Linked DNA regions of Drosophila melanogaster. The protein of the gene in region 2 interacts with the protein of the main gene of each other region in a pairwise test. Each region holds a gene or a part of one and is shown on either strand. Other genes may lie near its edges.

The links.
Region 1: the proteins of CG7148 (region 2) and Cul2 interact in a two-hybrid assay, tested with the Drosophila melanogaster proteins (one large-scale study listed by BioGRID).
Region 3: the proteins of CG7148 (region 2) and PGAP5 interact in a two-hybrid assay, tested with the Drosophila melanogaster proteins (one large-scale study listed by BioGRID).

Annotation. Positions count from the first base shown.
Region 1 is NT_033779.5:21,657,062-21,665,829, reverse strand, and holds Cul2 (cullin 2), read right to left. Parts: upstream 7,096-8,768; 5' UTR 6,869-7,095; intron 6,736-6,868; 5' UTR 6,677-6,735; coding exon 6,558-6,676; intron 5,991-6,557; coding exon 5,766-5,990; intron 5,708-5,765; coding exon 4,630-5,707; intron 4,483-4,629; coding exon 4,365-4,482; intron 4,301-4,364; coding exon 4,194-4,300; intron 3,747-4,193; coding exon 3,378-3,746; intron 3,313-3,377; coding exon 3,199-3,312; intron 3,142-3,198; coding exon 3,010-3,141; 3' UTR 2,132-3,009; downstream 1-2,131. Other genes in the region: CG2225 (uncharacterized protein), read left to right, coding at 235-368.
Region 2 is NT_037436.4:21,828,609-21,836,072, forward strand, and holds CG7148 (uncharacterized protein), read right to left. Parts: upstream 3,646-7,464; 5' UTR 3,489-3,645; coding exon 2,938-3,488; intron 2,879-2,937; coding exon 2,182-2,878; intron 2,125-2,181; coding exon 2,008-2,124; 3' UTR 1,936-2,007; downstream 1-1,935. Other genes in the region: Nopp140, read left to right, coding at 4,271-4,369, 4,572-6,221, 6,463-6,621, 6,859-7,272.
Region 3 is NT_033779.5:8,196,960-8,202,783, reverse strand, and holds PGAP5 (Post-GPI attachment to proteins 5), read right to left. Parts: upstream 3,832-5,824; 5' UTR 3,742-3,831; coding exon 3,323-3,741; intron 3,256-3,322; coding exon 2,751-3,255; intron 2,683-2,750; coding exon 2,504-2,682; coding exon of another isoform or gene 2,503-2,503; exon of another isoform or gene 2,439-2,502; coding exon 2,429-2,438; 3' UTR 2,132-2,428; downstream 1-2,131. Other genes in the region: SLC5A11 (Sodium/solute co-transporter-like 5A11), read left to right, coding at 251-316, 375-426, 485-552, 609-1,022, 1,076-1,767, 1,824-1,899; CG8460 (uncharacterized protein), read right to left, coding at 4,030-4,171, 4,236-4,635, 4,702-4,905, 4,963-5,152, 5,219-5,491. UniProt on the Drosophila melanogaster protein: Metallophosphoesterase.

The DNA.
Region 1 (8,768 bases), on a different chromosome or scaffold from region 2:
TTGTTTGCTTCAAAATATTGTCACGCTTACTTGACGTCCCTAACGCTAGATTAAATTTAAAAATTTTGGTTTAAATTTAAATGAATTTTTTAGCAGATACTCGTAGGTAAAGCTTGTGTGCAATTTAAAAGCTCCCTCTCCTTAGCAGGTTCTTGATAGTTAATCGGTAGCGTTAACATAAATTTGAAAAAACTTTTCAAAAGACTTTAATTTTGATACCAAACACTTTTCTAGGATCCACCACGCGAAAGGATACCAATCGCAAAGACAATGGAGCCTCGGGGGCGACCACGAATAACAAACCTAAAAAAAAGGGGCTTTTTAAATCTCTTTGGAAACGCTCCAAAACGGTCTCTTTAGATCAGTAAAAATCCCCTCTTGGATATACCCCTTGTTTTATATACACATACATATGTGTATAGTAGCATCGAAAATTATAATAACCGTGCATTAACTTCTATCGGGTCGAAACCTGCCAGTTCATCTTTGCACTCACCTAGTCACTCACCTGCTCATTCGATCAGCAAAGCGCTTGTGTTCGTTCGCCTTGAAAAAATACATAAAATTTCGTATTGGTCATACAGTAAGAAGACAATTGGAAAATTCAAATGCACAAAAGCCGTGAATCGTAAAGACTGACAATGAAAAAAACGCTAAGAAAGATAAAATTAAATTTAAAAAATGGCAAAATAAATAAAATGAACCTAACAAATACAAACAAGATTTCACTCCTACAAGTCAAAGAAAATAAAGTGTAAAGTGAATGTGCGGTCAACACTCATCTTTTAAAATACTATTAAAGCAATTACTGTAGTTATATGACCAATGATCGAATAACCAAAATCTAACCGAATACACGCAGCATTGTGGCGCAACAAGAAATTTAAAAGCACTGAATTAGTTTAAATCTGTATACATACTCGTATATGTATGAGGAATATATATAAATATATATATTATATATATATATTATATTATATATTATTATATATATTATATATTATATATTATATATTATATATTATATATTATATATGTATATATATATATATATATAATATATATAGTTTGGACTACGACTAAACCGTTTAGGGTTCTAGGCAAGAACACTTTATTTCTTACATCAATTTAAAGTTGTGCAAGGTATTTAAAGGAGCTAGAAACGGGCAATAAAATGAGATATTTTTTTTATCTCATGTAAATTATTAATCGAACATCTGCCACGCCCCAGAGTGCAACACAGGAAAATCAAGTTGAGATTATAAAAAAATTCTTAAAACTGATACGTATAGAATTTCCAAAAACTGAAACAGAATGAAGTTAAACCCTCCACATTTTAACGAATGTTTGATAATAAAAACAAGATCGAGAGTAATTTAATACATAAAAACTTTAAACTTATAAAATGCTCAAGACGATTTTACCAGAGAAAGCTTTTCTCAAATTTTGAGCAAAAATGAAGTTGAGTGGTTGGAAAGGAAAATTGCAATATGTAAACGTTTACTAGTCATTAAATATAAAAAATGAACCATAAAAAATGTATAAGAAAGATAACATATTTTTTATTAACACTCAGTGGATGCCAAAAACATAAATATTGGAATCATTTTATCAGCGGGAGCTGTGGCACTCAAAAACAAGATAAAATTATTATTAACGAATTGTATTACAGTTACAGCTATTACATCCAAAATGCTTTTAAGTCGTTGAAGGCAGTTGTTTTCAGGGTATGGCCATGGATTCAGAAGCGTTAAAAAGATTTTTATGGGACCGCTTTTTTTATCGCGAAACAAATTACAATCATGTTCTACCGAATTTATCAAAACAAATTAATGTTATCAGCGACTTAAAAGTATTTTTTATTTATTCCGTTCAATGAACTAGTGTTATTTGATATAGGAAGTTAATAATTTTTATAATTAACTATTAAGTTACATATACATATTTGTAAAATTAATTAATTTACCATTATGATATATATTTTTTAGAAAAGTAGCACAAAAGAAATAAAAATGACTAAAAACAAATATAATCCACGGCCCTTGGGTATTTAATATATACAAATATTGGATTTCTTGGCAAAGGCGAAACTTAAATGGTTACTGAACATACGTACAAGGTATTGTAAATTAATAAAATCGACATTCTAAGATTAGTAAAAGAATTTAAGGGAATTTTATATTTTAAACCAAGGTCCAATAAAATGTGTGAGCAAAAACAAAAAGATGGGAAAGTCCTTAAAAGCTCTTTTAAAACAAAATCTAAGAATCTTAGCAATCTTGAAAGTTTCGAAAAATGTTTGCTTTTACACTTTCTTTGGCACTTTGACAACTCAAAGCTCAATATACGATATGCCAATTTGTAGGTGGTGGTACGCCTATTTCTACCCGGATTCGTTATTAAAAAGTACTAGAAAATCAAAAAATTATAAGAATGGGATTCCGGACAATAGATCCAGTTTTTTCCGAGACGACCAAATAAAAAGTACAGATCTCTATCCGCATACTTAAACTGCAATGCTGACTGCTTTTTGCACAGCATTCATTTATGTAAATTTGAAGTGTACAGTGGTACAGCGTTAACGCACAGGATACGAAATACTTTGAATGACATATTTTTAGACATTTTTTGGGATTTATTATACATTTTCCAGCACATTATTCTGGTTTGTGCGTGTGTTAATAAAACCAGATAAATATACAATACATAAAGAAATATATTATATCTACAATTGAATAGGACACACGCATTAAATCAAAATGGATCAACTAACTAAGCTAAATTAAAAGTATCAGTAACGTCGTTTGATTTCCACACACCTTTCATACCAATATGCTATGACCACAAAAATAACAAAACTCAAATTGCTTGACCTTTTGATTTCTTTTTTTAACATTGTAGGTAGTTCTTTTTAGACAAAATAAGCCGCTTGGTTAGCGTCAGTTGTGTGTATGGGAGGTTGTTGTCCGGGAAGGTTCTTGTTTAAGAATAAAAAATCTCTACCGCAGTCTATGCCATGTAGCTATATTCATCGCCCGAGTTCGCCGTTCGCTCAATATATTGTTTGTCAATTAATGACTCCACGCATTTCTTGATCATTGCTATGTTGGGAGTAAAGCTAACCTTCGATAAAGAGAGAACCTAAAGAAAAAATACATCATGTAATTTTAATTCACAGTCAGGTGTTTTAGATATTACCTCTTGTATTAAGGCATTGTGCTTTAAGACTTTACGCGCTTTCATAATCCTTACAATGGCGGCTTGTAGAAAGAGTTTTCGGTCCTCATCTACCGAGTTAATTGTGTGCTCAACCTACATAAATAACGTCGTTAGAAAACCAGGTACCAGGTAACCAGGTTGAAATCGAAATGCCTTACCTCCTGTGGCGTTTCTTTTTGCAAAGCCGAACTTATTTTAAACTTTGTACGCTTATTTGTGTAATCCAAATTTAATTCTATTCGAGTCTCACCGGCGAGATTCTCTGAGCTGGCATTTAAAAGCTTTGACTCGATAATAGGCTGCATGTGCTTTTGAAACGTTTCGTCGTTTAGCTGTAAGGTGTTCTGGATCTCCCGACAACTCAGACTATCACAAGTCTCGAACAGCAGTATTATCGCCATCTGGTATGTTTGCATAGTCACGATATAAGATTTTTTCAAATGGCTCAACTTTAATTCTCCATGACACATGTGATGTAGCCAAGTCAACTTCCGGCCACTAAATAATTTATGATAGTAATCCTCGAACTGAAAAATCATAACAAAGGTACAGTACACGATTAACGTATACATTTAAAATTTCTGAAGTACCTTCGACAAAGTCACACGGTTTAAGATGTATTTGGACCAAAAGAAGTTGCGTTTTGATTTGGTATGCTAAAGTACCTTTATTGAAATAAAGATACTTTTAACTTTCTATATGTCACACATTTCAAGAGAACACCTTACGATGTAGTCGTCGATTTGAAGGAAAGTTTTTTACATAAAGGTTTTTCTGTATTTATTATTATATATTATTTGTATTTATTGCTGCTTTAAATATTTATATATGTTTCTGAATATTGTTAAAAGGCCTCTCTTTAAAAATTTGACTAAATAAAGAAAGTCTGAAAAAAATTTTTTATAACTTTGGTTTGTCAAAGGCAGCTTCTATCTCGTTTTAAAATAAAATATATACATTTACGAAAAACGTACCATTTTAATAGATTTTTCAAATTCCTGTGGTACTGCAAATGGTATAACTTGAGTAGATCCCAAGGGCCACGCGCCCGCCTGCAGTACCTTAATGGCAAGGTTGATGCCTGCATAGAAATACACATACATAAAAATAAACTATCTTTAATGAATATACATTTTCCGTCTCACCTAAGTCCACATTGCTATCCTTAAGGTGAGTATTAAACTTGTTGTTCAGATCTACTGATACCGATATATCCGTAAACATGCGATGAAGTTTATTGGTAAATTCATAACCGCAGGCTTGCTGTAAGTATTAATAAAAGAAGATCTATTTAAGCTAATGTAGTTTTGTAAAAGGGTCATAACAAATTAAAACAGCATTAAAAATAAATAATTCACATTATTGCAGTTATTCACTGTGAAGTACATTTTAGACTAGCAGACCACGCACCTTCAAACGATTGATCATTCCCTCCTCCGCATCCATGCTCTGACTTTGCTCGTGGATTAGGCGCTTGGCTAACAGTCGGCTATAAAACTTTTGATACACATCCTTATCCTCGATATATTTAAATATGGTTATGTTGTTAGTAAGCTTTTGATCGATCTCTGCCTCGCAGGTCTTAGACTTTTTCAGTAGCGTATCACAGTATTTCGCCACATACTCGGCACTACGGCAAGGCTGCCGCTCGGTTGGCCGGCGATTGATAACGCTGGCGCACGCCTTGTCTAATGCGCTCAGGAATAGAGAATCGTTTTCGAAGACGTCTGCGATCAGCTCTTGGTACTTGTGATGTACCTTCAACATATTCTCTACGAACGCAATATGGATGTTTTCGCCCTTCAGCGCAGATACGGTCTGCAGACCTTCACTTTTGATGTGATCGAGGAAGGTGGTTATGAGCTCAGACTTGAGATTATCGGGTATGGGCTTTAGTACGACGTACATGTTGCGTAAGTCTTGGCGCCGCTCCTCTGAAACCATTTCGCGGCACTCCGAGTAGATGAAGCCCAAACGATCGTTAATAAACTTCTCCTCGCACTCTTTACGTAGTTTTGGCAGGGAACTGACGTGTAAAAACTTTTGGGCTCTCCGGCTTTCATATTCCAGTATCCGGATAACCTCCTGCATGTACTCCGACACTGAGCACCGATGGAGCAACTTGTTAGCCTCGTCTGTGTAGTAGGCGCCACTGGCCTCCAGCATGGGGCCTTCAAAGAGTTCCTGGTAGAGCTTAAGCGAGCCTGTTTTCTTATAGTCCTGTACCTCCACGAAGCTGTGTATCACTCCGTTGATAATTTGCACGCGATGGTGATCCAAGGTGCCATTGCTAGCTCTGTCTGCGGCAATGCCCTCGAGTATGTGACGGACCAGTTCGCTGGACAAGTACTCAATCATATACAGGCGCCAAATGTCTAGACCTAGCTCGCCAATCTCCATCTGCTCCGCAGCATCGCTTGACAGATTACCGTAGAACGATTCCGTATCGGTAATCTTTTGTTTCTTGATGTGTTGTTGATTCAGGTAGCTAAAGGAAATTAATTCCAACGATCATTGAGTTATTACAGACTTCGATGCATTCTTACATGTACAATTGGTGCAGATACTTGATACCCTGGCTATATTCCATCCAGGTGATGTAGTAACGCTGGAGAAGGTCTGGGCCACCATTGGAATGGGAGCATTCTCCCTCGATCAGCACCTTTTTGGCCAGCATCTCCTGGACGTGCTGCTCAAGAAAGTGTTTTGTTTCGCCATAAAGACGATCAGCCATCGGTTCCGGCTGCGCCACGCACAGTGTGTAAACGTCGCTATATGTTAAAGGAATGTGATTGGAAAGACAGATGTATTAGTGCTCGTTATTTTAGAAATTTTATTTTGGCAACTCACGCTTCACACATATATACGAACAGTTGCGGTCAGAATAAAAGCAGCCTGCGTTACACTGTTTTGATTATTAATTTTAAAAAGATACGTCATCGATCTATTTAATATTTACTTGAACTTAGTTTAACCTTTAAGCGGTCAAAATATTTAAATTCAAGCTAGAAAACAGGCATTTATTATTAAAACTATGATTGCATTTATCAAGATTCTACGACATTTACCAAATCATTTTCGCCTCGCTAGCAGCTATATTTGTGAATTTTGCTGTTGAATAAAATATATAGTTGAACCGCTAGGTACTAGTACATTCATAGTTTACCAACTCAAATGCAAAATAATGTGATTGAAACCATTACTTATGTTGGATTAATTTAAAAGTTAGTTAGTGTTATTTGTGTTTCTTCTGAGTTGGGTAACTTTGTAGTCTCTAGTGACCTATCACAATATCTCTCTCCAGGCTGTTTAATACTCCGACCGTTGCCAAGACGTACCTGAAGCTAGTATTCCACACCGAGCGCTCCACTTTGGTGAGCGTTATCACCGACTCGGCGATGCAGCGCAGGCGCGGCCAAACATCGACAAACTCCACTATTTTGGGCTTGAGCGACATGTCAAATGGGTCTTAGTCCTAATCCGTGGTCCGTCTGGATATGGATTTGGAAGGGTTTTCTGATGGGACAGGGTGCACGCTAATTAGAACGCCGACTGATTCTGCCTTCGCAAATATAACAATGGGCGACCGAGCGACCCTCATGCGTTGGCAGAGACCACTTCTGCTTTGCTTTTTGGCATAATCGCTTACTTTTTGCGTGGGGGCCACCAGGCAAATGGCCTTGTCCTCGAGCAATTGCACAGCAGGCCAATTACCGCTTGATGGATCGTGGAGGGGCGCGCTTGCGACCTACTCACCTGCTGCTTAGCTACGCTATTTACTAAATAATTACGCCGAGAATTTAGTTATTTTTGCACTTTTTTTTTGGTATCGTGAAATGGTTTGTCAGACGAAGACGATATCGATATAATCTATCGATATTTGAACTCGACAAAAAATTCGATGTAAAAAGAATGTCGTGTCTCCACTACCGAAACGTTTGCTTTTGTTTTGATCTTAATTTATTGTCAACGCCGATCCACTGAACAAATTTTTTACCTTCCTGCCTAAAAACTGGCCAAAGCCATTTTCTTAAAAAACTGTAAGTGCACAAACCTAAATTGATTTCATATGTGAACTGTAATAATGTTAGGATTTTTTATGATTTTCGTTTTTTTCGATTGCTTATACGTATTGCTATTGCTCTCGAGTGCCAACCTTTTTGTTCAAAAGAATATACATTTTCAAAAGATTTCAAAAGTGAGTTAAGGGTTATGCCTTAAAGGTAAGTGTATGATCTAGAAGAATGATCCATTTTGTACAGACCGAGTTTTAAAGGTCTAAACTGTTAAGTGCCTAGATGTGGCTTTCGAAAAGGCAAACAGAGATACATACAAAAAAATACAAATACAAAGAGATAGATACAAAATAAATACATGTTTAATTACTAAGAAAATATATAAAGGCTAAGATAAACAAACGAAAAAACCATTAAGCTTAAAGAAACAAAAATTTACAAAATGTATAGCTCAAAAAATCAGAAAGTCTCATATTTGTCAATGGCTAAGATCGTTGAGCGCCAAATTTTTTTAGTTGTCTGTTGGTTGTCAGTCGATTGGAACTTTTTTATCCACCAAACCGGAAATTTACTCCAAAGAATAAATTGGAGCCACATCCACCGTAGCCGCCGGTGATCAATACTTGCAACCTTCCATATGCGCCAAAAATTGGCACATCGCCTACCACTATTTCCAGCCTTTGTAGCTTCCAAAGGCCATCCACACATTTCACTTTGACCTATCCAATGTAGCAGTCGTCGATCCAAGTGTGATACCATATACTGATGGAGAAATGGATTGAGATGTAAATGATGTAAAAAATAATTAATATATATACCGAGAATTATTTAAAGAATTCGGACTCCGATTTACCAAAAGGTGTGATGTTCTAAGCATTTCAAAACATTTAAATTTTTTGTCTTTGTGTTCGCTTTAACATTGCTTACATTTTCAGTGTTGTGAGACGTCGGTGGTTATCGACTTTAGTGTTTAGAGCTGTGGCATGGGGGGTACTCCAGCCTGAGGAAAGCCTGAGCCATCAGCACGGCAGACGTTTTGTATTTATTTCTTAATCGTTATTTGGAGGTGAATTCCAAAAAATTAAATAAACTTCAAATTGCACGGTATCTTAAAAATGTTGTAATTTCATTATTTGTGTAAAAAGTTTGATTACAATTTAATCCACAGTTTTCGTGGAGATATAATTTTTCTGTGACTACACGCTTTTTACATGCATTGTTTTCGAAACTGGGATAGACAACAGCCAACATATGTAGATACATGTAAATTAAAATTTAAAATTTATTTATCTTATCTTATCCTTAATTTGAAAATGTTCACAATCTCGTCCGGACTTAGACTGATTTTCTAAATCTAAATCCTAATCCACTCAACCTAGAAATTTTTTAGAATTTTCTGGAACTTCAAATATGTTTAGGATAAAAGCTTTATACTGAAATTATTTCACAGCATTGTGAAATTGAAATTTTCTGACTGGTGTTTACTTTAAGTTTGGTTATTTATCTGCTGCTGAGATTGGAGTTTTGAATTTG
Region 2 (7,464 bases):
AAACAGCTTATAGGACCAATATCAACAAAATGCCTTTGAACCGCGCTATTTATCTTAATTTACTTGAATACTCCGATGAAGACGAGGGCTTATGGCCTCGGAAGCTAAGGATCCACCAAAGTACACACAACTTCCAAGAGCTTCAAAAGCCAGTAGATTAGTGGTTTTACAAAAAATATGAAAACGGTTGGAGCATCCGAATTCGGGTTCGTTTGTTGACTGACTTCAAGAGGAACCCTCTTTGACGCACTGAATCTGCCTAGGCAACGCTTACTAAGTCCCGAGGACGAGTTGCTCCTGGCCCTGCGTTTCTACGTCTGTAGAAATTTGGATGCCGCTTTCGAAGGCCTCTGCATGTTAGGCGGTGGGGGAGGTTTCCCTACGCATTGCGGCCATGTCCAAGGAATGGTGGATTTCCAAAGAATCCCCCCGCTTCCAAATGTGATGAGGGGGGGTCGGGTGCACGCACATTGGGCTCCACTCTCGGGGCAGAACCACGGCGACGTCTATTGCAACTGCAGGGGATTCTTATCAATAAGAGGCTGTCTCAGATGCGCACTTTAGCATCCAAGATGTCGGTGCACGATGGCCTGGTTCAACCGGAAATAGAGCTATCTTCGACAGCAGTCGACTAAAATCCAGGTGGGAAGCCGGCGAGTTCGAGGAACACTATCTCCTAAGCAATTGGAACTACTCGCTTAACAAATATATGATGACCCCCCTTATAAATCCCACCACGGAGGCACAAAGTCGTTATAACGAGTCGCACATAGAGGTTTCCCGTCCTATCCCTTGGAGTGTGAATGCCTATCCAGGGAGGAAAAGGACCCTTTGCCCCAACCTTCTGTTGACATGGACAAACCCTTTAAACTGTCGGACGACGAGGAAATCAATGACAAAGCTGATAAAAACGATGAAAATCTTAGAAACATAATTAGTAAATTCTTTGGAATTTGATGTACATATTGAGAATTTTTAACACTACAAACTTTAACTCATGAATCCCTCAGGAAGTCCCATTAAACACGTAATTTAGCCAACGAAAATGCATCTAAAAGTGTACATTAAGTTTTCTTTTGTTTTCAGCGATTTCCAAGAAGAGGAGCTCCCGCTTCGCACATAGGGTTTCCATTTCCTCCACGTGCTTCTCCTGAGCGCGGATGTTTTCCTGTTCATAAAAATGTCGGTGTGCTCTGACCAGGCGTAGCTTTTCCTCTTGGAAAAGTCTGACGGTACGGGGGCTTAACCTTCCGGCTGGGCTCCTCAGCGGGCCAGTCAGTTCCGGCTTACTATACGAAGAAGCCGCGTGTTCATTGGAGTTCTCCCCAGGGAACTCGAGTATGTCTCCGCTTGAAACCGCTTTGCAGTCTTCTATGGTAACTGGAAACTGGACTCGGTTTAGCTAGGTGAAGGACATTAAGGAATCCGTACTCACAATCGCTGTCCGAGTTTTCACCTATCGTATCATTGTTCCTCAGGATCTGCCTGATATGTACAGCACTGTTTTCTTATGCTCTGAATTCAAAAACGTTTTTCAGCTTGAAATGTCAAATTTAATAATTTTTGCCTGCAGATTAGATATCCATAGGAGCGGGAGTTACACTATCGATTGCATTATAGTTTTTGGGGAAACAACAAGTTGACTTCCAAACTACAAATTATATCTTACAGTTATTATACCTGGCAGTAGCAATATACATATTATCAGGGGTATTCAGCTAGCTATTTCATAGCTATAAATGATTCCCAGGGAACAAAGGTAAAAATGTTGCACGTTATCGTCAGCTCATTTTCATATTTATTTTATTAAAACAAATTTATTTAAATAATTTAACTACGGTGCTCTTTGTCACTACGTGAAGGACAGCCTTAGAAAACAACACGGAAGTCCGCATGGAGCACTCAAAACTTTGAAATAATAATCCAATTTGGCGTACTTTGTGCAACATAAATTTTAATAATAAATTATTGTATGAATCTACGCTTGTATATTTACATATTTTGAGGTCAGTGAAATTCAAATTGGTATCCGCGGTCCACAAAGCTCAGACCGCGTTCCGAGTCGACTGGAAAGTCGGCGGTGAAGACAATATATCCTCTATATTCCAAAGAGCTCTTTAGGTTCTGCAATGGATTGATTGATTAGATAAAAGAAGAGCGACATAAACAAGAAATAGTAACCGCTCTATCCACAAAGTCCTCAAAGCCACTTAGGTCGTAGTAGAGCTTCAGAGGTGGCGAACGTCCAACTCCCGTCTTCTGCTTGAACGGCTCCCGCCGCTTAAGAATACTCAAGGCCCGTGGCAAAAATGTTGGCGTCAGATTTCGGCAGTAGGACACGTCGAGGTGTTCCAATCGTGGACAGAGTTCCACGAATTCTAAGAGGATTTCGTCGCTTAGGTCATTCCAGTTGCGCACGCAGAGCAGCTGCAGCTCTGTCATACAGGTATAGCGCTTTAGGTAGTCTGCCGAATGAGTCCAGCTGCAAATGGCCAGGCGCTTCAGCCTGCGATGCGTCCAGATGGGCAGCTTCTCATCCCAGCCCGGTTCAAGGGGCATATAGTACCCGTCCACGGCAAAGCCGACGATGTCCTTGGCCTTGAAAGCCATGATCTCGTAGAACTCGCTGACCTCGCGGATCTTGTGGTCATAGCTATCCGGACTGACCAGCGGGGGGATATGCCACTCGTTGTCCAGCAGCACCACCAGTTTCCTGAGGGAGGGCAGCTCCAGAACGGCGGGTAGAATGGGTTTCAAGGTGGCCAGATTGAGCTTAAGATCAGTGAGGTTCTTAAAGCTCTGCAGGCAGTTTCCCAGCTGAAGTTTACTGATCATATCGTACGTCCTAATGTCCAGGACCCGAAGATCGTGCAGCGTGCTGTGGCGCAAACGGAAAATGAGTTGCGAAATATTATGCAGCAGAAGGTTACTACTTACCGGCACACCTCGTCCAGGTACTTCTGCTGCAGCTCAAACGCCTTGTGCTGGTCCTCGTAGAGGTGCAGCTCCTGCAGGTGCTGGAAGTTGGATAGGTACCGCCCGTCGATGGGTGTGGTAAGGCGCAACTTTTTCAAGCCCGGCAGCAGGCGGGCCAGCTTGCGGATGCTTCGGTTCGTGGGATAGCAATCGACGCCGTCTGGGTCGTAGTAGAAGCTGGTCACCATGGGCAGCTCTGCAATGTGCATTTCGTCCAGATCTTTTAGAATGGAGCACAGACAGCTGCTGCCGCCCATTTCTCTGATGTACGGACGCATTTGGGTTAGGAAGTAGACCAGGTCTTCATGATTGGGCAACAGTACCCGCCACTTCTCCAGATCCAGTTGCTCGTAGGCATGGCTGGTGCGCCACTTGCTCAGACATATGTACTGCACTCGCCGGCAAGTCCTCGCGAAGGACACTTCCGACGGCAGGTCCTGCAAGCGATCGAAAATCTCGGCCAGACAGTCGTCGTCCAATTGCAGAATTAGGGATCTCGGCTCGGAAGCCATGGCCCGGGATGCGATCCTCGCGACACAATCTAGGTACAGAGTCTGTTAAAATAGCCGGAGCGAGAGATAGTTTCTGTATTCTGGATCGTTTCAAGCAGGTCAACTCAATTGAATAACAAACAAAAATACATTTTGGTGCTCCCCCAATGTGACCAGTCGTGGATGGTCTGAATACCTCACGCAAAAAACGTAGGTTCCTTACATTATGTTATATATACGCTAATTGTTTGAATACAATTTAATAATACAGTTTAGTAATTTATATATATATACATAGACATATAGACATATATATATATAACAAATTTAACAATACAAATTTATTGTTATATATGTCTATGTATATATATATATATATATATATATATATATATATACAAAACTAAAATTACAAATTTATTGTTATATATGTCTACATATATACATATACATATATATATATACATATATATATATACATAGACATATATAACAATAAATTTGTAATTTTAGTTTTGTCTAACGTAGCCTAGCGTTATTTCTAATTTCAAGATCTTTGTCGGTGTGGCATAAATAAATGATTACAATTGATTGGCATTTTCGAGTTATTCTTGGGAAGAATACCCGCTGCATTGACAGTGTTGAGAAACGGGGTGCAGGGGTGGCCACACCGTTGGCAGCCGCGTAGTGCTGCCATACCACTGATAAGTAGAAAACACGTGTGAGTGCGCATTCTTTTTTGTGGGACAAGCGGCTAGTAATTATTTGCGGACGGAAAATATTGACGAATAGTTGAATTAATCATGACAGACCTGCTAAAGATAGCCGATGCAATCGTCCTGGAGTACTTGCAGTCCAAGGACAAGAACCTAGCCAAGGTTTTCCAGCAGAAGACGAAGGCGGTAAGTTTCAGTGCAGAGCGGCAAGTGCAATATGTGCGGTTTGGATGCACCCGAAACATGTGGTATCTGCGTCCTCCTGATCTAGAATCCGAGGGCCTTGCTGTCCGCCGATGGCTCATCGAGCTGTCCACCTGCCACTTGCTGCAAGTGCCACGTGCTTCGTCCAGATAACCAAGAATTTCTGCCTTTTTCTAACTTGCAGGCCAGTGTCGCCAAAAGCAGCCCAAAGTTGAGTGAAATCCTTCAGTTCTACCAGACCAAAAGCCCCAAAAAGATCCCAGCAATCAAGGCGACAGCCGGAGACTCCAGCGAAGACAGCGACTCAGACTCTGAGTCTGATGCGGCGCCTAAGAAGCCAGCGACAGCTCCTGCACTAACAAACGGCAAGGCTGTCAAAAAGGCAGCTTCTTCAACCAGCGAGGACAGCGATTCAGAGGAGGAGAAGAAGCCAGCAGCAAAGGCCACGCCGGCCAAGGCTGTCGGCAAGAAGGCAAAATCCTCCAGCGAGGACAGTTCCTCGGAGGAAGAAGCACCCAAAAAAGCTGCTCCAGTGAAGGCACCTCCGGCCAAGGCGGCTCCCGCGAAGAAGGTTGAGTCCAGCAGCGAGGATAGCAGTTCCGAGGAAGAACCGGCAAAGCCCGCCGTCAAGGCCACAACGACTAAGGTTGCTCCCGCCAAGAAGGCCGACTCCAGCAGCGAAGAAAGCAGCTCCGATGAGGAGACTAAGCCAGCTGCCAAGCCTGTAGCCAAGGCTGCACCGGCAAAGAAAGCAGCATCCTCCAGCGAGGAAAGCGACTCCGATGACGAGCCAGCCGCCAAGAAGCCTGCCGTCCAGCCTGCCGCAAAGCCAGCTCCTAAGGCAGCCGCTTCTAGTTCCGAAGACAGCAGCTCAGAGGAGGAGGTCAAACCCGCTGCTAAATCTGCTGCCAAGTTGGCTCCTGCTAAGAAGGGGGCTTCCTCTAGTGATGATAGTTCCTCTGAAGACGAGGCACCCAAAAAGGCAGCAACTCTCGCAAAGCCCATTTCTAAGGCTGCTCCCACCAAAAAGGCCGACAGTTCCACTGAGGATAGTTCTTCGGAAGACGATGCTCCTAAGAAGGTAGCTCCAGCAAAGGCTACGCCAGCTAAGGCAATTCCTGCCAAGAAGGCAGCTTCCAGCGATGACAGCTCCTCGGAGGAAGAGGCGCCCAAGAAGGCAGCTCCAGCAAATGCCACGCCAGCTAGGGCACCTCCTGCCAAGAAGGCAGCTTCCAGCGATGACAGCTCCTCGGAAGAAGAGGCGCCCAAGAAGGCAGCTCCAGCAAAGGCCACGCCAGCTAAGGCAACTCCTGCCAAGAAGGCAGCTTCCAGCGATGACAGCTCCTCGGAAGAAGAGGCGCCCAAGAAGGCTGCCGCCCCAGCAAAGGCGACACCGGCCAAAAAGGCCAAGTCTTCAAGCGAAGACAGCGACTCCGATGAGGAGGAAGCTCCCAAGAAACCAGCCGCGAAGGCCGTTGCAAAGGCTGCTTCTTCGGAAGATAGCGATAGCTCAGAAGACGAAAAGCCAGCAAAGGCTGCTCCCAAGGCTCTGGCCAAGTCTGCAAAGGCTGCCTCCTCAGACAGTGACGATTCCAGCGATGAAGAAACGCCGGCAGTGAAGCCAGCTGTCAAGAAGACTGCTGCTCCTGCGAAGAAGGCTGACAGCAGCAGCGACGAGAGTGACTCTGGTGAAGAGTCCGGCGAGGTCAAGCCCAACTCAGCTACCAATGGCAATGAGAAGACCGCTCAGAAGCGCAAGTTTAGTGGTGGCGACCAGGACGAGGCCACTCCCAACAAGAAGTACAACAACTTCGTCAAATCGGGAGAGCAACAGGTAAGGCGGTGTAACTTATCTATGTACATCTAAAATTATCCGCAGTCCGCTTATGCATGTTTTCCTTCAGACATCAATTTTGAATGTCGGATAAAAATAATTCCTGAGTTAAAGGATTCCCTTAAAAGTAGCTTTTTAAAGCCCTATTGAAATTTGAGCCGAACTTTAAACAGCACATAATTTTGGCTCCTTGTCCGATTCCTGTGCAGACAGTTTTACATAACTTCATTGCCATTCGCAGAAGAATGACTTCACCTCCACACCTAACAACACCTTCAGCCGAAACCATAATATGAACAATAGCGGAGGGGGAAGTGGGCGACGGTCGCCCTTCCGAAGGGTACGCACCGAGGACGTGGTGGTGGACTCCCGAGTCCAGGACATGTCCTTCGAGGCGAAGGTAAGTGCCGCAATGGATTTGAGTCGCGTGGGTGTGTGTGTTTGCGACGGCTGTTGAGGATTAGGCGAGGGGGATCTTTCTACGAGGCTGAAAGGGGCAGACACACAAATTAGCAAGTTGCTCCTCGAAGAATCTCAAACCACTTGTGGCACTTTCCCAATACATTTTGAACTTATATATCAAATCAAATCGTTGCTAATTTGTGGTTTGCCCCTTTCGGCGTTTCTACCATTTCAGGAAAACGACTTTAAGAAGCACAACAACGGACGGGGCGGCCGAGGAGGCTCAGGCTTCTCCGGACGACCGGATCGCAGCACTTGGGAGACCAACAAGTTCAACGGCGAGGGCGGCGGTGATGGAGGCGGCTTCAAGAAGATTGGCGATCGCAAGAGCTTTGGAGGCTTTGATAACAACCAGCGCGGAGGACGTGGTGGTGGCGGTCGTGGAGGCGGCGGAGGCTTCGGTGGTCGTGGCGGTGGCGGCCGTGGCGGCGGTGGTGGCTTCGGAGGACGTGGTGGCGGCGGACGCGGAGGCGGCGGCTTTGGAGGACGCGGGGGCCGCGGTGGAGGCGGACGTGGAGGCGGATTCGGCAACAAATCCTTCGACTCGTCGGCGCCAAAGCAAAACAAGAAGATCACCTTCGACAATTAGAAATAGTTAGTTAGCGCCACCCACCCGCAAGCACACACACACACACTAGATGCAGTTATATTATCGGATTAACCCAATTTTATTATTTGCTCACCACGATAGAAAAACGCTGCCGGATCCTGGGGCGAGCGAGCCAACAAAGATCTGAAGCACACGCGCGGCAAGTCCTTCAAACACGAGAAGACCAAGAAG
Region 3 (5,824 bases), on a different chromosome or scaffold from region 2:
GTGAACACTTTAATTAACTGGGAATCGGAGACCACCCTCCCCTCAAGTGGAATTTCTTGGACTTTGCACTCGCCCACTTGTTGCGACTTTTTTCTGGGTTCCAGCGGTTCGATATGATTAATTGCAATGTGGTTTTCTGCCACTTGACAATTGTGTCGAGCAATTAGTTTTCGTTTTCGGTCTTTATGACGTTAGTTTTCGAATCCTAAACGCAAGTCATTTGAATTATGAAATATAATATTGCTTTCAGTACTTGGAGATGCGCTTTCATTCGGTCGTACGAAGTATTGCATCCTTTATGTTTATTCTGGATGAGGTAAGTCAAAGATAATATTTGGACTGCAATGTTGTAATAATTGTCGATCCAATTTTAGATTCTGTTTCTGCCTTTCATTGTGTATGTACCAGCTATAGCTCTGAATCAGGGTAAGCCGCATTTGTTAATTGTTTGAAACACAACTTTAATCTTTCGATAATCTTGCAGTATCGGGCATTAATCTCCATGTGATTGCAGTGGTAATTGTGGTCGTGTGTGTTTTCTACACCTTTGTCGTAAGTTTTAGAGAGTTTCATACGTATGTTTTTATACTAATGGCGCCTATTTTCAGGGAGGAATCAAAGCAGTGGTCCACACAGATGCTTGGCAGGTGCTGGTCATGTTCCTTTCCGTTCTTGCTGTGGCTATTTTGGCCACTGTCTATGCAAATGGCTTGAATGTCCTTTTCGATGATGCTGCCAAAGGTGGCCGATTGATCTTTAACAATACAAACCCATCGCCTTATGTAAGGCACACTGTTTGGAGCGTCCTAATCGGGGGATTCTCCTACTGGACCTCATTCAATGCCGTCAACCAGACCATGGTCCAGCGATACATGTCTCTTCCATCGCTCAAGAAGGCTCGTGCTTCCATGGCCATTTTTACAATTGGCGTGGCTGCCTTCGTCTCTGTTTGTTGTTATGTGGGACTGCTAATCTATGAGATGTACAAAGATTGTGATCCTCTGAGTGCGGGACTAATAACAGTGAGTAAATAATAAATTGTTTTTGAACTTTACTTACGTTTATTTCCTTGCAGCACGACGATCAGCTACTGCCGCTCTTTGTCGTTCAGAGTGTGGGTCATATCTATGGTATGTCTGGTTTGTTTATAGCCGGCATATTTGGAGCTGCCTTGAGCTCCCTTTCTGTGGTTCTGAACTCAACGTCCTTGGTAATCCTGGAGGATATAGTTCGCGGCTGCTTCAAGATGCAACCAAGTGAAAGAGCCTCCACCATTCTGGTAAAGTCAACTGTTATAGTTCTTGGCTTTGTGGCCCTATCACTGGTATTTGTCCTGGAACAACTGAGTGGAATCCTGAGCATTTGCACTTCAATGACGGCCATCGCAGCTGGAACCACTTTTGGCCTGTTTACCCTGGGAATGCTCGTTCCCTGGGCCAATACTGTAGGCACTGCTGTGGGCGGAATTGCAAGTGCTCTGCTCGCCGGGTGGATATCCTTTGGAACGCAGTTTACCATCGCAGCGGGTGAATTGAATTCTCAAAAGCTTCCCGTATCCGTGGAGGGATGTGTGGGCAATGTAACGCTTCGGGAAAATATATGGGTAGATGAGGAGCAAGTTTTTCCACTGTACCGACTGTCCTACCACTGGATAAATCCCATTGGTGTGGCCACAGTCATTGTGGTAGGTGCACTAGTCTCCCTTGTGACCAAACCCACAAATATGAAAACACTAGATCCGGATCTAATATCACCAGTGATTCACAGGTAATTTTTGTAACCACATGTTTAACCTCTGTTATTAAACCCATTTTTTCTTCTAGATTCCTTCCAAAAGAATGCTTTAGTGGTCGCAATCTCCATGCGCAGGCGCACAAAAACCTCTTAAACGTATCCTAAAATAGACGAACCAGAACTTCCTGTGCCAAACTAATGGAATTGATGGCATTGAATTCCACACCCTGTTTTGTTAGCATAGTTTGTAGTTGTAGTTGCTTTGTGGTAGTTACCTTATAGATAGCCTAGTCTAGTACAATGTGATCCAGATATTGGAAGACATAAACCGAAGTACAGGAACCTATGAATCTGCATCTCAGAATACAGAGTGCACAATCATTAACGTTATATAGTAAATGTATTATAATATAGCTTTATTTAATTGTTCTGTTTGTATCCGTTCTTTACTTTCCAGCCTTTGTTCAAGCATTATTTTTTTGGCATTTTCGATTTGTAGTCAGCAGACTGTGTCTCATTATGTATTCCGTTTGACTTTACAAGCATAATGTCTGTGATAAATTCAATAAATAGATCATACATACTATCCGAATTTTGTACACCTAGAATATAGTTAAGCGGTTGCAAAGCAGCAGGAATGATATGACCTCTGTCTGGATCTGGATCTGGGATCTGAGTCTGGAATCTGGCGTATCTAGTCTAAACTAAGCCCCAATCAGGCGTAAATCACAAAAGAGGATATGCCTTGTATAGGCATGCTTATACATACTAATTAACCTTCCGATGATCTACAGCCGACGACTGTCTTCTGCTTTGGATGCACTTTCGTAGCTGGAACCCGATGACAATTAGGCAAAGAATGCCAGCACTCAGATAGCTATTGAAGACAAACTGCTGTGGCAGCATTTTGCACTTGGAAACCACATAGTCATCGGGGGTTATAGTGGCCTAAAAGTTATGGCATGTTAGTACAAGTTCGAAGGGCTAACAATCGTAAGAGCAAATATAATACTCACCAGCATAAAGCTGGGATTAACTTTGTTTCGCCAGCTGAATGAGGCCACCGTGTACTCATCGATGCCCAGTCGATTTACACTGTGACAGAAGTGATGTGAATGACCGGCGAATGCCAGCCTTGGCTTAAGCAGCTCTCCCAGCATATCCGTGGCATCCTTGGAGAGCACATGAAACCGCTCTCGGAACGCCTCGATGTACGGAGCATCGTGCTCCTCGCACATGGTATCCGAAATGCGGTAGGTGGGAAAGTGCTGCAATAGAATTGGCTGGCTGTACGGGTGCCGCCTGGTGCGAGCGCACTCCGCCTCTAGTGGATACTTCATGCAGTACAAAGTCCTCGAAATGTTTTTCAACTGATCCTCGGCCTGGGTGCAAAACATGCAACCATCACCTTCCATAGCCATCGAATTTATCACCACAAAATGGATTTGTTTAATGGTGTACAAATTGACCGAGGAGTTGTTCAGATAACTCTCAAAACGCGACATAAAGAAGGGATGCATTCTGGAAAACACACAAGAGCGCGGTTTAACAAATATCAGGGAATACACATAGTCTCTTATTGACTTACTTGTAATGGAAGCCCACGTCATGATTTCCCGCGACACTGATGAGCGGAATTCCCGGTGGTAGGTGGAACATCTTCAGGTAGCGCCACACATATTCCTGGAACTGCTTGTCGCTGACCATGTCGCCCTCGTCGAACAAATCGCCCAAGACGAAGACCACGTCGGGCTGGAACAGACGTGATGCCGCCTGAAAGGCCCGCGTCATGTGCCACTCCCGGTAGAGCTTGTCCAGCCAGTGACCACGATGCGGTCCCAGCAGATGCGGATCCGCTAGAATCATTGCCCTAAGCGGATCGTCCACATACTTCTTTCGCTTTATCTCCGGCCACTTGCACTTTTGCAGCACCACAAAGTCCGCCACATATTCGCAGAAGATCAGGGCGCACAGCACGATCACAAAGCAGGCATAAAGAAAGCGCATTTCAGGATTTCTCACCGGCTAAAAAAATAATAACAAATTTATTCTAGAGCTGAAAAACCATCAGCGATAGTATCGTTTTAAACGAGTAAACGGCCCGATATAAATTTAAAATATTCGATAAATTAAACAGTGCTGTCAAGCGGCTGTCGGTTGACTAACAAATTGGCGCCTCATTTCAAAGTTGGTTACTAAAATTGTAAATTGGAAAAATTATGAAGCATTATGGCTTATATATAATTTCCTTTATTTGGAATAGGTATTGTGCATTGCATGCTGCTTACAGGCTAACTAGAAGAGATCGTAAAAATAGTTTAGGCCTTGGCCAAGTTCCCAGATTGAAATGCCAGTGCCCAGTTCCTGGGCGAGCTTTATTCGCTCGTTTATGGAATAGAGAGTGGGATAAAAGACAATGTGGCGACCGTCATCGTTTCTGAAAGTAATGATATTCATCATCTTCGCCTTACACTCTGCATACGCTGCAGTAGAAAACTCACTTGATTTCAAAGAAATTTTCCACATCCCGCTCATCGTAAGTTAGGTGCTTCTTCACATGCCTGACTAGATCCAAGTACTGGGAGAAGGTGATGGGTCCACCTCCATCGGGCGTGTAATCATTCCCGTACATATTCAGTCCCAACAGAATTTTAGCCCTCTTAGCCGTCATATCAGCGCAACCTTCTGGAGCTATTGTCTCCACAGCCTTACGGACGAAATATAATGGTGCATTTGCTCCGGGACGCTGCACGCTGGAGAAGTCGTAAGTCATCAGAGAGAAGGCGTATATGTGCTTGAACAGCTTGTCCATGTGCTTTTCTCCAAAAAGGTGGCCTGTTTCCTTGCGGAATGGAGGAATGACCAAAATGAGTCGCAGCTGTTGCTTTTGTAGTTCTTTGGCTAAGTGACGTAAAAGAAATTTAAATTATTAATAACAAACAAAGGGTTACAACGCATTAAGCTCACCCATTTGCAAAACCAGTGTGTACAGAATTTTGTCATCTATGCGTCCAGCTAGCTGGGACCACACCTCCAGGACGAGTCCATCGAAGCCATTATCCTTGCAGCACTTGATCAGCACGTCGTTGACTTTCGTCCTCTCCTGGGCGTCGCTAAGCAAGAGCTTAATGTCCCGATCAGTGAAGTGATCGAATATAAAACGGGGAAACACTGAAATCCAAGGAAAGTGAGTTTAGACTAACGCCAGCGGGTATCATTTTCTCATACCTTTAACCGTTCGCTGATTGTGCACCTGTTTACCCTTTCTCCGGACATCGGTTAGCCAACCCGCATCGATGTCATGGGTTCCGGCTACGGCATAACGATCTCCCTGCTTAACAATCTGCAGCCAAACCGGCGAGATAATGTCGAACTTCTTGGCAAATATCTTAGCCACATCATAGCCATGCGAGTTCCACTACAAGCAAAGCAAACAATAGATTAATACACATGCACAAAATGTGGGAGTACGTCCTCTGCTTACTGGAGTCACATAGCCCAAGGTGGTGCCATTGAAGCGTCGCAATCCCGTCTCCTTGAAGTACCCGCGATGATTGCTCACGATATCCTTGGCCAGGGGCTCGGGACTAACCAAGCCCAGATCGAAAACATCTTGGTCTTGCGGACCGCCACGCAGAGCACTCTCCTTGGTCTTGCTCTTCGATTTGTGGCTGTCCGGGGCGAGGGTTCCGCGGACGGTGGTCAGCAGTAGAAGCAGGAGAGCGACGCGGAGCAGGAGCGCATCAGGCGCACGCATTTCGACAGAAGGACAATCAGGACCACAGCATAAATCGCACAAAAACAAATCGCATACAAAAAAAAAGCCGGCAGCAAAGTGACCATAGCGTACACTAAACGGCAAACGGCATCAGACACTCTAAATGGTCACCCTAAATTGGTAAATAGCAGTGTGCTTCAGAAATTATTACTTGGACTTGACTTAACATTATATTTGATATATTTTATTTTATTATTTATAAGCTTAAAATTATATCACCGAATTATTTCAACTTCAAACAATAACGAGAACTTAATATGTTTCTTAAATTGCGCATCCGATTTAAATCACCCGCTCTGCCTTTAACGATTG